Rattus norvegicus: one gene and its partners. The protein of the gene in region 2 binds, or shares a complex with, the protein of the main gene of each other region. Links are inferred from orthologs where the notes say so. Each region holds a gene or a part of one and is shown on either strand. Other genes may lie near its edges.

Region 1 (4,125 bases), on a different chromosome or scaffold from region 2:
GTCTGCCAGGAACCCTTGTCTTTCCTATGTCTCACCTGCCAGAGGTCTAAGCCCAGTACAGCAAAACTATCATAGGCATAGATATTCGCATCGGGGGAGTATTCAGGATTGTCAATCTCTGGGTGTATCCAGGTACCCTTGTAATCTGGGTTGTCAATTTGACGTGGCTTCCATTCGCCCTGTAGAAGAGAACCAGATGAACAGAGGTGGACACATCCCACAGTACAACCAACCACCCTGCTTAGAACCCCAAGGCATATCTTGTCTTTTTCCTGTGGTGCGACATCAATCATAGCACCAAAGGAAGCACCCTACTAGTGAGCAGCACCTCAACACCCAAGCCTACCTTGTATTCAGGATTTTGAATCACTGGTGGTTCCCACTCTCCATCCATCTCTTCGTCCCAGTCCTCAGGCTTCTTAGCATCAGGGTCAGGGATGTGCTCTGGCTTGTCCCAGTCCTAGGAATATACAGGGAGGTCAGGGGGACCCAGGGTCCTCCCCCTAGGATGGAGGTGGAGCTGTTGTCCCAACACTAACCTCAGGCTTGGAATCTGTGGGGTCATCAATCTTGGCTCGTTCATCCCAGTCTTCTGGCTTGGCAGCGTCAGGATCCTTAATCTTCTTGGGCGGCAGAAAGTCCCAATCATCCTCCAAGGAGCCCGACTCCACCTGGCTGTTGTCAATTTTCACCTCGTAGGTGTTGTCTGGCCGCACAATCAGCGTGTATAGATGTGTGAATTCATCATCCTGAAGAAGGAAGGAGGTGAGCAGTCCCTCCCACCAGGCTGCCTGGACCTCCCGTGACAGCCACTTAAATGACTACCCCAGACACACCTTACACCGGATATCCTTGTTGATCAGCACGTTCTTGCCCTTGTAGTTAAAGATGACATGAACCTTCTTGGTGCCAGGACCGCAGATGTCCGGACCTATGTAGGAAGCATATGCAGGCTGATGGCAGGCTCTACCCTTGGGGAAGAAAGACCTAACCTTATGTATTTATGCGTACGTACGTATGTACGTACGTATGTACGTACGTGTGTGTGTGTGTGTACCATGCATATACAGGAGCCTGCAGAGGGCACTGGAGTTGGAGAGCTACTGTTTGAGTGCTGAGAACTGAACTTCAGTTCTTTGAAACCATTGCATCCACTCCAGCTCCTATTTTGTTTTTGACAGAGGATACTGTTACCTTTAACTGAAGCTGCCTTTAAAGTACTCACCTACCTCAGTAGTGTGAATGCTGGAATGTACCATGGCTATCTAGAAATAAAGACCTGATCTTGTCTTTTTTTTCCCCTGAGACAGGATCTCTACGAAGTCCTAGCTGTTCAGGAATCATGGAGAGGCACCTGATTTCAATATACCTATTAAAGGCATCAAAGACTACAAATCTGAAAAGAGTACCATTCTGGGCCAGCAAAGGGCTCAGGGGTAAATTAGGTGCTTGCCACTAAGCCTGATAATGCAAATTTGATCCTGGAACTCAGATGACAGAAGAGATTTCCAAAGTTGCCCTCTGACCTTCACACTAGTACATACACAGGTACATAAAAAATTTGCACTTTTTCCAGTGATTTCTTTGACCCTGTCATTAGCATCATTTCTAAAATTAAGAAACATGTAGAAAATACCATAAAAATGAACAATATAAATCTACAACTAATAGAGTCCACCAACTAATAAAGTAAACCCTTTAGTTGTCCCCTCAGGACAAAAATCATTCAAGTGCTTTCCATGATATGAAGATCAGCATTCTAGTTATAAAGGGTTTCAGTTCGCACCCACTGTCCAACCGGCAGAGGTCAGCATTGGCTGGGGGCCCCTCACCAAACATGATGTTATATTCTGAGTCTCCATGCATGTCCTTCTGGTCCAAGCCACCCGGAAACAGCTTCACGTAGCCGCCCCCACAGTCGATATTCTGCTCATGCTTCACGGTGAACTGTACCACCAGTGTCTGGCCCTTGTTGCTGAAGGGTTCGAATCTGGCGGACAGCGCGTAAAATCGGGCATCTTGGCTTGTCTGCAACCCTGTGATGAAATGGGATTGTCGTTAGGTGGACCCCAAATACCCTAGACCTTGAGGGGCACAGTTGACCGCCCCTTCCTTCCTCCACCTGTCATTGGCTCCCTCATTCCTGGGAAAAGCTCCAACAAGCTGTGTGCACTGACAAGAGCTTCCTCCAGGAAGTTGTCTTGAATCCAAGCACCCACTCCCTCGTACCTTTATCCTTCTCCTGGTCCCCGTAGAATTTGCCAGAACTGAGGACGAATTTGCCAAAATCAGACTTATGTTTGGATTCGACCCAGCGGTTGGTCCAGGCATCTGAAAGAGAAAGGCTTAGGAGTCAGATCAGCGGGACCGTCCGACCCCCGCCCCCATAACCAACGTCTGTCAGGAGCTACAAGCAAGTGGGGGTGGGGAAGGGGATTCCCATCCCAACCTCGAACTTGACACCTCGATCGGCTTCAGGTCCTTGAACGAACCTTAACTCCGGGCGCGGGAAACCGCTGCGCCTTCCTGGTCCCCCAAGGACGCACAAATGGAACCGCCCGCGGCTCTAGTCCCCCCGGGGCCACAGTGTTGGCCCTCTGAACGGTAATTACTTTACACACGACGAGGCAGCCGAGGGCTCGGGGCCCAGCAGTCGCTGAGGCGGCCTCGAGGCGGGCCCAGACCTTACCTCCGTCCAAGAACTGCTCTTTGAAATAGATGGCAGGGTCTGCGGCAGCCAGGCCGAGGAGGCCAAGCAGGAGCGGCACCGAAAGGAGCATGGCGGGCCGAGGGGGCGGCGGCACACTGGCCCTTTAAAACGATCTTCAAGCAGCGGCTCTGCGGTATTGACGGACGCGGCCGCCGCTGCTCCAATTTATATCCACCTACCTCTCATCCCAACCTGACACGACCGCTGAGCCCGCCCCTCGGTCCTTCTGACTGGTTTAGACCTACAGCTGTCCCTTCTCATTGCGTCCTAGTCGCCTCAGCAAGTTAGGCTGTGGCTCGGAACGCTGGGATCCCAGATGGCTGATTTCTATTGGCCGCACCCTGGGCCAATCAGGGTCGACCACGCGTTGTAGGGGACGCCCCCTGTTGGGGTGGGGGCCGCGAGCCCACTCAGGCGCGGTCACGTGACTGAGCCTCAGCCCAACCCCGCCCTTGCTGGTGAGAGTCCCTTGCTCGCCATGAAGTCGTTTAAAGAATCCGCGCGAGCAGTACCGGGTGTTAACCGTGCGGGACCGAGACTGGGCCTCCGTCTCGTCTCGGCCTTTTTCCATCCTTTCTGGTCAGAGGGAAGAAGCAAGGATTCTTTGCAACTTTGATGTTCCATCTATACTGCACTTAGGGAACGCCCACCGATGGCAAGCTTTTCCTATTCAGGATAAGGTCAAGGGCCAGGATCCTGGGGTTTCGCTGCATTCTGGTTCCCAGTTGTTCAGGCCAGTAGAGAATGTACCAGCTTTCTCCTCTTGTCCCGTAGTTCCCTGACAGCCTGTCAGACTACTGTGTGACATGATACAAGTCACTTCGCCTCCCTGAAATCTCAGAAGCCAACAGGGGTGACCCTGAGCTATCTGACAGAAATGCTCTTAAACCTTTCAGGGCTATCCACGGTTTGAGAGCAGGAAACATAGTGGTCTCATCGGTGTGAATGTAAGTGTGTGTCCTTGGGTGAGAGGTAGTAACCCTACCTCTATCATTTTTTACTCTTACGCTGGAAAATGGAAAGAGTCACTTCTTGTGGTCTCCCACAAACGACTTGGCTTTTGCAATTAAACGGCTATGAGCAGACAGCAAGGGGTGCCGTTTGAGAAGGAAAAAGGACACAGATGGCTGTGGTGATAGAGTTCTAAGGAGATAAGCAGGACCCTTGGATCTGGAGGCCTCTGACTCAAATCATGTGACTGTGGCCAGCACCCTGCTTGCTGCTAGGAGGAGGAAGGACAGTACCTGTAGGGGTTGGGGGATGGGAGGTGTTTCCAAACTGAGGAATTGGGAACACTGGAACAGACAAGGAACTGCACAGAAGGAATCCTTACAAAAATGGAGTGCTTCCTTCTCAGTGAGAGGAACTCAAGCAGTAATGACACTTAAGGTCAAGAAGTTGGGGGTCCACTCTGT
Region 2 (3,645 bases):
ACACTCACTGTATGCAGCCCTGAAATGAGGAGGCGGGGAAGGGCAGGGGTGGGGAATGACAAGAACTTTTTTGCACATGCTAACAATGGACACAGGGAAAAGTTCAAAAGGACATGAAGGACACCAAGAGAACATCCGACTGCCAGAGACAGAAGGGAACCTAAGGCTTGGATTTCCTGCAAAGCACCCAACATATCCAGACAGTCTTAGGGCAAGCAGGTCTCAGCAACAATAGATGCTAACTAGAGTGGGAGGGAGACTATTTAAGGTAGAGGGCCAGAGTTTCTTGCTCGATCTTGGGATGGCCCTTCGTTCCCAGAAATCCAAGCCCTAAGCTTCCACATAAGCCCTGACCACTCGTGTGGAACCCAGGAGATAGTGGTTGGGCTGCACTGAAGGCAAATCAATGGCATGATATAATCTACGAAACAAAACTACAGCAGAAAACACACTGTAAGTGAAACCTCCACGCAACAGAAATGGACTGCTTAAGACTTCATTCACTCCAGTCTCCACTCTAAGCTGAGCCCTTTCACATCAAGACTTACAGGGGAGCAGCTTCTTCAACAAAACCATCTTTGGCCTGGGGAGAGAACTGTGCTCGAGGACAGTGCTACTGCTGTGCTAGGCAAACGGGACAATGGAAGTACATGGTCTCCCCAGCTGGCTGGCTGGCTGACTGAGCAGACCATGGCTCTGCTAGAGCAAGTGCTCCTTTTAGAAATCACAAGTAGGTATGAAGTCTGGGGCCTGTACTCCCAAAGGTGGAGTCACGCCTTTGCCTCTAATATCATTAGGAAGGTTTCATATGGTCCTGGAGCACAGGACAAAATCTGTGGACAAAAATGGGAAAGATAGAGGGAAGTCGGAAGAAGGGGAAAGAATGTGGTGTTCTGGCCAAGGAGGAAGACAGAACAGAAGGTGAGGGAACACAGCACTGGCAGCACCCTATAGAGCACAGCTCTTGCCTCTGCCAATTCACAGCATTAATGTTAGCCTTCCCCTTGGACAGGTTACCTGGGCTGCAAACGGTCACAGAAAGTCAGTAGTTTCAATCATACACAGCACCCTGTGTGTACAACAATCACATTCTGGATTCTACAAAATCCTGGCCTTTTCCAGAGATATAATTTAGGTAATAAATATTCTCCACCCCGGAGCTGTATAAAACTTCTATAAAAATAGAAACAACATTCTTGGTTCCGGCTGGTTGGGATTCAAAGCAGTGCCTGCCCAACCTAGCATTTTTTTCTTTTTTCTTTTTTTCCTTTTTAAGTTTTTTTTTATTTTTTATTTTTTGCATTATTTTAAAAAATCCATCATTACCCTGGAAGCCTTTAGAACAGTTTTATCTTGAAACACAGGACACTTTTCTCCCAGTGCACAGAATTCAAGTTTACGTGGTTCAGCTGAAGAAGTGTATGTTTCGTGTTTAAGAGGACAACAGACTCAACTCATCACTATTAAGAGAGCAGCTGTCCCAGCATCAATGGGACAACATCACTAACAACTTCCTGCACAACAGCAAGATGGTCAGTCCCTGTTTGTTATTCACAGGGACAGCATGACAAGGAGAGTGAGTGTCCCCATCTGACTTAAAGCAGGCTAGCCCCTTCTAATCTCTGCTGCTGAGAGCCAAGACGTTGTGAGGTTTAAGCTTCCAATGACTCAGGAACCAGGCCCTGGCTGTGGCTATTAATCATATACTTATAGGGCCACCACCTCTGCTCAGAGGCTGTGTGGGACACTGGCAAAGGCTGGAGTTAAGACCCATGAAAGGCAGCAGGAGCTCACTGTAAGCATCATGACAAAATGAACATGGGTTAATACTGAGGTAAATGAACACTAAATCCATATGGAGCCTGTAAACTTCCTGTACTCTCTTCTGCCTTCAAGGACAGAGAATGGGGCTAGAGTGGCTGGAGGAGAGGCCTGTCAGACCTTTATGAGATATACAACTTTTGGGACACTTCATTAAGGAGGCAGAAATGCACTTCTGAACCTTCTTGAATACTAGGCTCTGCTCAAATACAGCACAGTGGCTTGCAGAGACCTTGATTCAGGCACACCAAGAAGCAGGTCTCTCCTCCATCAATCAAATGGCTTCTTGATGGCTCTGCCCATGAACTGCACCCTTGTTGGCTAGAAAGGCTGCAAGAGCTTCTTAGGTCTGCCTTCATGAGAAAACTGTGGCCGGAGAAGGAGGCAACATTCCTTGGTGTGGTGAACTTCCATAGACTTTCTTCAAAGGGAACTGCTGGAAATGGGCATTGTCTAACTTCATGTTGAAATAAACTAAAATGACCTCTCTGGTTGCTTTCCCCAAACAGCCACCAACCAGGCAGGGCAATAAAACACGAATGGTGGGCCAGGCTGGCTAGTCATGGGTATCTCCCTGTTATTTGCATATTTCAGGCTAAATGAAAAGTGCGTTATTTCCTGAGACTTGCTTACCCTCTTTTAGAGAAGAGCAGAAATCCAGGACAAAAATTAGAAAAATAGGTGGCGTAAGTTCAGCATTTCCACAGAAAGCAGCCAGTCATGAAGGGGTCTAGATGCCAAGCCATCTCACCCATTCTGCCCCATACCGCATCAGACTTTAGTTCTCAGTCTACCCACCCTGGCAGCCAGGGAGAGAGACCTTGGAGATCAACTTTCTGTTCTGCTCAGCCCTCTCTTTCCATGGTTTAGGGCATGTTCTAATTATCTTTTAAACCCATTTCTCTCTTCCTCAAGGTGGACTGGTGTTGGTCCTTCTCAACATACTAGTTACAAACACAGCAAACTTTAAATAAAGGGAAAAAGAAACAAAACAAAACAAAACAAAAACCCTCAGGATATGGCACCTAAACTCCAAAGTAAAACACTGGAAACCAAAGCACAAACTTGTCCTCTGTACGAAGCGACACTCCCACAGAAGGCAGTAGCTGAGTCTTCAGGGCAAGCTGTGCCTGCGAGAGTGGCAGGGATCAGGGTCCAGGGCTGTCAACACACAGCCTTAGGGCTTCGAATGATTAAGGGTGCTCCTCCCCCACTTACCAGAAGATCTTCTCACTCCAGTCTCAGAGGGGAGCACGATCAGTAGGGCTTACTATCATTCTTCGAACGTTTGAGCTGCACTTTAAGCCTCTTCATTCCAATTTGAAAGCCGTTCATGGACTGGATGGCAGCTTGAGCTGAGACAGGATTGTCATAACTTACAAAACCTGTGTGTCCAAGCAGAAACCTAGGTGAGGAACTTAATAAAGCAAGAAGCCTCAGTCCTGTACAAAAGGTTATCTCAACTGTTCTCAGCATGCACAAAAATTCTGGCAATGACAACCACAGGAAACAATTAGGTTCTCAGTGGTACTACCTGACATTCACCAGCATTCTCTCTCCCCAAGCGAAGCTATTTCTACACACTATTTCCTCTGGACCAATACTGTGAGCAGAAAGCACAACCTCTGCTACAGGTAGGACTAAGCTCAGAAAGAGGTCATGATCTGCTAAGGTCAAACGCAAATCCAGATTTCCCTGAGTTTGTCAGCAGCTACTTTCTCTCTTTCTCAGTACGTCATCCCATTCCAACACCAGAAGAGAAGTCAACATACCAAAACACTTGCTCAGGTTGGTCTGCTTGTCTATGAAAACCTTGGCAGACAC
Region 3 (4,205 bases), on a different chromosome or scaffold from region 2:
ACGTGGGAGAATCAGGTCTCTACTTCTAACAGGTAGATACCAGGGTTCAAACTGGGAGTGAGATTTGGAGGTGAGCTCCTTTACCCACTGATTCATTTCAGTAGCCCAAACTTGGGTGTTCATCCACACATCCAAGCCTCAGCTCAAGGCTGGCTCCCTACTTCCATCCTGCCTCCTCCTCCTCCTTCTCTTCATCTTCCTCCTCCTTTTCTTCTTCCTCCTCCTCCTCCATTTTCTCATGGGACTCAGATCCCCCATCCCACGCCTACCTCAAGCACCAGGCAGGCCCAAGGGCCCCTATTCTCTCCTGTCATCTCCAGCCCGTCTGAACTCCTTGAATCTTTCCACCGTGACAATGAAGTCATGGTCCCTGGAGACCATGCAGGGGAAAAATCCAATTTCCAGAACCCAGGTACCAGGCCTGCTGTTCTTCATGCTCAATGGGGTTTGGAGGAAATGGATGAAATACAAATTCTTCAAAAGGGAGACATAGAATTTGGTAGGCAGACAGCAGCCACATCCTCTGGCTCATTCGTGCCATATCAGGGCTCTTTTCACCCACTTCAGTTTTGTTTCTGAATTATTTTATATATTACTATCTTACTATCCGCCCCCCCTCCGCCCCCAGGAGGTCTCACTTTGTACCCCTGGTTGTCCTAGAATTCATTATGCAGACCAGGATGGCCTCAAATTCACATAGAGTCTCCTGATTCTGTTTTCTGAGTGCTAGGATTAAAGGACTTTGCCACCAGGCTGGCCTCTTAGAGCTGGATCTTAGAACCCTCACTCTTCACCTTCCTCCTCCTCTAGTCACACCCGGATTCTGCGGTGTTTCAGCTGCACATGCTAGGCAAGACAACTCCAACTTGACTCTAGATGGTGGATACTTTAGACCTAGGGTGTCACTGGGTCTCTGTCTCAATTCTTTGCTTTGTAACATCCAAGGGACTACTGTGCATAATATGTAAATGAACAGATGTGACTGCTTCATCTGTGTTAAGACACTTCAATAAAACTTTCCCAATGGGTTGGAGAGGTGGCTCAAAGGTAAAAAGCACCGTCTGCTCTTTCAAAGGTCCTGAGTTCAATTCCCAGCTACCACATGGTGGCTCACAACCATCTATAATGAGATTTAGTGCTTTCTTCTGGCCTGCAGGCATACATGCAGGCAGAATGTTATATACATAGTAAATAAATCTTAAAAAGAAAAACTTCTCAGCATAGTAACTCACACCTGTGAACCAACCAAGCACTGGGCTGACTGAGGCAGTAGGACCTGGAGTTTGAGGCCAGTCTGGGCTTCATAGAGGGAACCTGTCTCAGATAAACCAACTCTTTTTTTCCAGACAAGTTCTTGTGTATCCTGGGTTGACACTGAACTTGCAATGTAGCTAAAATCAACTTTGGCCTTTTTAATTCTTTTGCCATTTCTCTTGAATGTGCACTATGGCCCATTTAGGCTATACTGGAGATGGGATCCAGGACTTTATAGATGTTAGACAAACACATTTATTGGCCGGTTTTGTTAGTGTATGCCTTAAATCCCAGCACTCAAGAGACAGAAGGGGCAAGCATTTTTTTTAGTGAGTTTCTGGATAGTCAGGCATACACAGAGACCCTGGCTCAAGACAAATAAAACTAAACTAAAATAAATAAAATACAATTTACATTTATTTATTTTGTGGGGTTTGGGCATGTGCCAAGGTTAGAAGACAACTTGTGGGCATAGGTTCTCTCCTTTTACCCTGTAGGTTCTGGGGATCAAACGCAGATCATCAAGTTTGGCTACAGGCCAATCTTGCTGGCCCCACTTTTCATTTTGATTTCCCCTTTTTGTTTTGTGACAAGATCTGGCTGTATCTTAGGGTGACCCAGAGTTCACTCTATAGCCAGGCTGGTCTTGAACTTGTGATTTTTCCTGCCTCATGAAGTCCCTGGAATGCTAGGATCCCAGGTTGTGCTACAGCCTGGTTCCAATTTTCATGGAGTGATCTTGGGCGACTACTGAAAAATGCCAACACAGTCATTCCTGTTGACCCCAGTTGTCCTTCCAGCACTTTCTGAGTCTTTCTGAGCACCTCCACTGTCATTCCAGTCCTTACTCAGGGTTCATTCTAACCTCCTTCCCCCAGTATACATAGATAAAGAAAAAGTAACCAGCACTTGGGAGGCTGGGACTTAGAGCCATCTAAGGCTACATAAGACTGCTCAAAAACTAAAACCAAAATACCCTCCGCTCAATCTTAAACTAATGTAAAACCCAAACAGGGTATCGCAGAGCCTGCATTGTGCCTCAATGTCCTGGCTTGAACGAGGGGTGCGCTGTCAGGATGCCGTGCGGTTTCTAACTCTACTCTTATTTGCTCCCGATTCTACACTAACCTTTGTCTTTCTCTTTATGCCCATAGAACTTCCCCGATGAGACTCGGAAGTGCCCGAACTGGGAGTCATTGGTGGACTGCACCCAGCGGTTCCTCCAGCGCTCTGTGGAGAGACAGGAAGGTTAACGGTGCAAAATGCACGGATCCAGATCACAGATGGTGGACACAGGCCGCCAGCCACCACGGCAATCGCCTTCACCTCCGTCTAGAAACTCCTCCTGGAAGTATACAGTGGCCAGTGCCACGCGCAGCACGCAGATGGCCCAGAGCGACACGCGAGCCCGGACCATAGCTGCACGTGAGACTTCCACTCTCCGCTTTCAGGCGTCCGTACCGCCTGAGGGGCGCAACTCGGAAACTACAACTCCAGGCATGCCTTGGGATTATGACCTGAGGCTGCTGAATGGGCGCACTGGAATTACAGATCCCGTGACGCCCCGCGATTGTGACCTGAAGCACTTATTGGTGGGTGGAGCGCGGTGGGCGACGGGAAATGTAGTCTCAAGCGGCTCTGGCGTAGTCTCCTGGGGCAACCGCACACTGGGGCCTATACATTGAGGCCGAAACCTGGCGGGCAGAGGACAACGCCGCTACTCAGGTGACCTCACAGTGATCTACTGGATCGACCAGGGGCTGCGGGAAGACGGGCGGCATTCACACACCTGAGTTTCCTCGTTTGGAGGGCGTTGGAGCATGATCCTGTAGGGTTGCTAACAAAAGTGAGGAAACTGAGTGCCGGCAGTGTGTAGTACTTAGCGCCTTTACATTTTGTGTTTTATTAGTCATTCGAGACTGCATCTCAGTTAGCCCAGGCTGGCCTCTCTGTATAGTAGAGGCTGGCCATCAACTCCTGCTCTTCCTGCAGCACTACCCAAGTGCTGAGATTGCCGCCACTCACCCTCACGCTCATGGATATATAAAACTTTTAAAGAAGCATATATAATAGGTTTTACATTTATTTACGTGTGGTCAGAGGAATCGATTCTCTTCTTCCACCACCATGTGGGCTCTGGTAATAAATTCGGTCGCTGTGAGCAGTGGCTAAGCCAGTGCCCTTCCTCTCCGTTTTAAAAGTTGAGTAATATCCTACCCTCTGCATGGTTCACTCAGTAGTTCATAGGCATCAGGGTTGTTTCCGTTTTGTATGTTGTGAATGACCTATGAAAGTTTGCGTACATTTTCGTTTCTCTTGGGCTGCAACTGAGTGGAATTGCAGGCTTACATAGTAACTCCAGGGCAATTGCCCGGTATCTTTTTCTTTCTTTCCTTTTGATGTTGTTTATGGAGACTAACCTTGTTCAGACTTTAGCATGGGAGTTTTTGAATGCAGGAGAGGAACTTAAGGGACTTTTAGAAGAAACCGTGCTGAGCCTGCGAGATGGCACATTGGAAAAGGTGCGAGCTCCGTTCCAGGAACACACATGGTGAAGGGAGAGAGGCAAATCTGCTGTTTGCCCTCTGACTTCCTTCTGGGTGAACACACAGGCACACAGGCAATAAATGAAATTCTGTCAAGTGCTAAAAATAATTTTGTTTTTGATTCTGTTTTGTTTTTCTAAAAAAAATTTTTTTAAGGAGGAGCTAGAGAGATAGCTTAGCAAAGAGCACTGACTGCATTTTTTTTAAGGAGGAGCTAGAGAGATAGCTTAGCAAAGAGCACTGACTGCTCTCACAGAGGTCCTGAGTTCAATTCCCAGCAACCACATGGTGGCTCACAACCATCTGTAAGAGATCTGATGCCCTCTTCTGGTGTGTCTGAAGACAGCTAAGGTGTACTTATAGATAATAAATAAATCATTAAAAAAGGAGGGCTTCTGAAGACAG

Evidence for each region.
Region 1: Celf1 (region 2) and Calr share a complex: the UniProt entries of both Homo sapiens proteins name them as parts of the EIF2 complex. The link is inferred for Rattus norvegicus from reciprocal best matches to the Homo sapiens genes CELF1 and CALR.
Region 3: Celf1 (region 2) and Calr3 share a complex: the UniProt entries of both Homo sapiens proteins name them as parts of the EIF2 complex. The link is inferred for Rattus norvegicus from reciprocal best matches to the Homo sapiens genes CELF1 and CALR3.

What each region holds. Positions count from the first base shown.
Region 1 is NC_086037.1:40,212,085-40,216,209, reverse strand, and holds the start of Calr (calreticulin precursor), read right to left. Parts: upstream 2,844-4,125; 5' UTR 2,781-2,843; coding exon 2,690-2,780; intron 2,332-2,689; coding exon 2,230-2,331; intron 2,037-2,229; coding exon 1,833-2,036; intron 932-1,832; coding exon 837-931; intron 750-836; coding exon 540-749; intron 461-539; coding exon 347-460; intron 180-346; coding exon 36-179; intron 1-35. UniProt on the Homo sapiens protein: Calcium-binding chaperone that promotes folding, oligomeric assembly and quality control in the endoplasmic reticulum (ER) via the calreticulin/calnexin cycle.
Region 2 is NC_086021.1:97,448,580-97,452,224, reverse strand, and holds part of Celf1 (CUGBP Elav-like family member 1), read right to left. Parts: coding exon 3,594-3,645; intron 3,207-3,593; coding exon 3,079-3,206; 3' UTR 3,040-3,078; exon of another isoform or gene 1-3,039. UniProt on the Homo sapiens protein: RNA-binding protein implicated in the regulation of several post-transcriptional events. Involved in pre-mRNA alternative splicing, mRNA translation and stability.
Region 3 is NC_086034.1:17,428,760-17,432,964, reverse strand, and holds the start of Calr3 (calreticulin-3 precursor), read right to left. Parts: upstream 2,861-4,205; 5' UTR 2,672-2,860; coding exon 2,581-2,671; intron 2,485-2,580; coding exon 2,383-2,484; intron 1-2,382. UniProt on the Homo sapiens protein: During spermatogenesis, may act as a lectin-independent chaperone for specific client proteins such as ADAM3. Required for sperm fertility. CALR3 capacity for calcium-binding may be absent or much lower than that of CALR.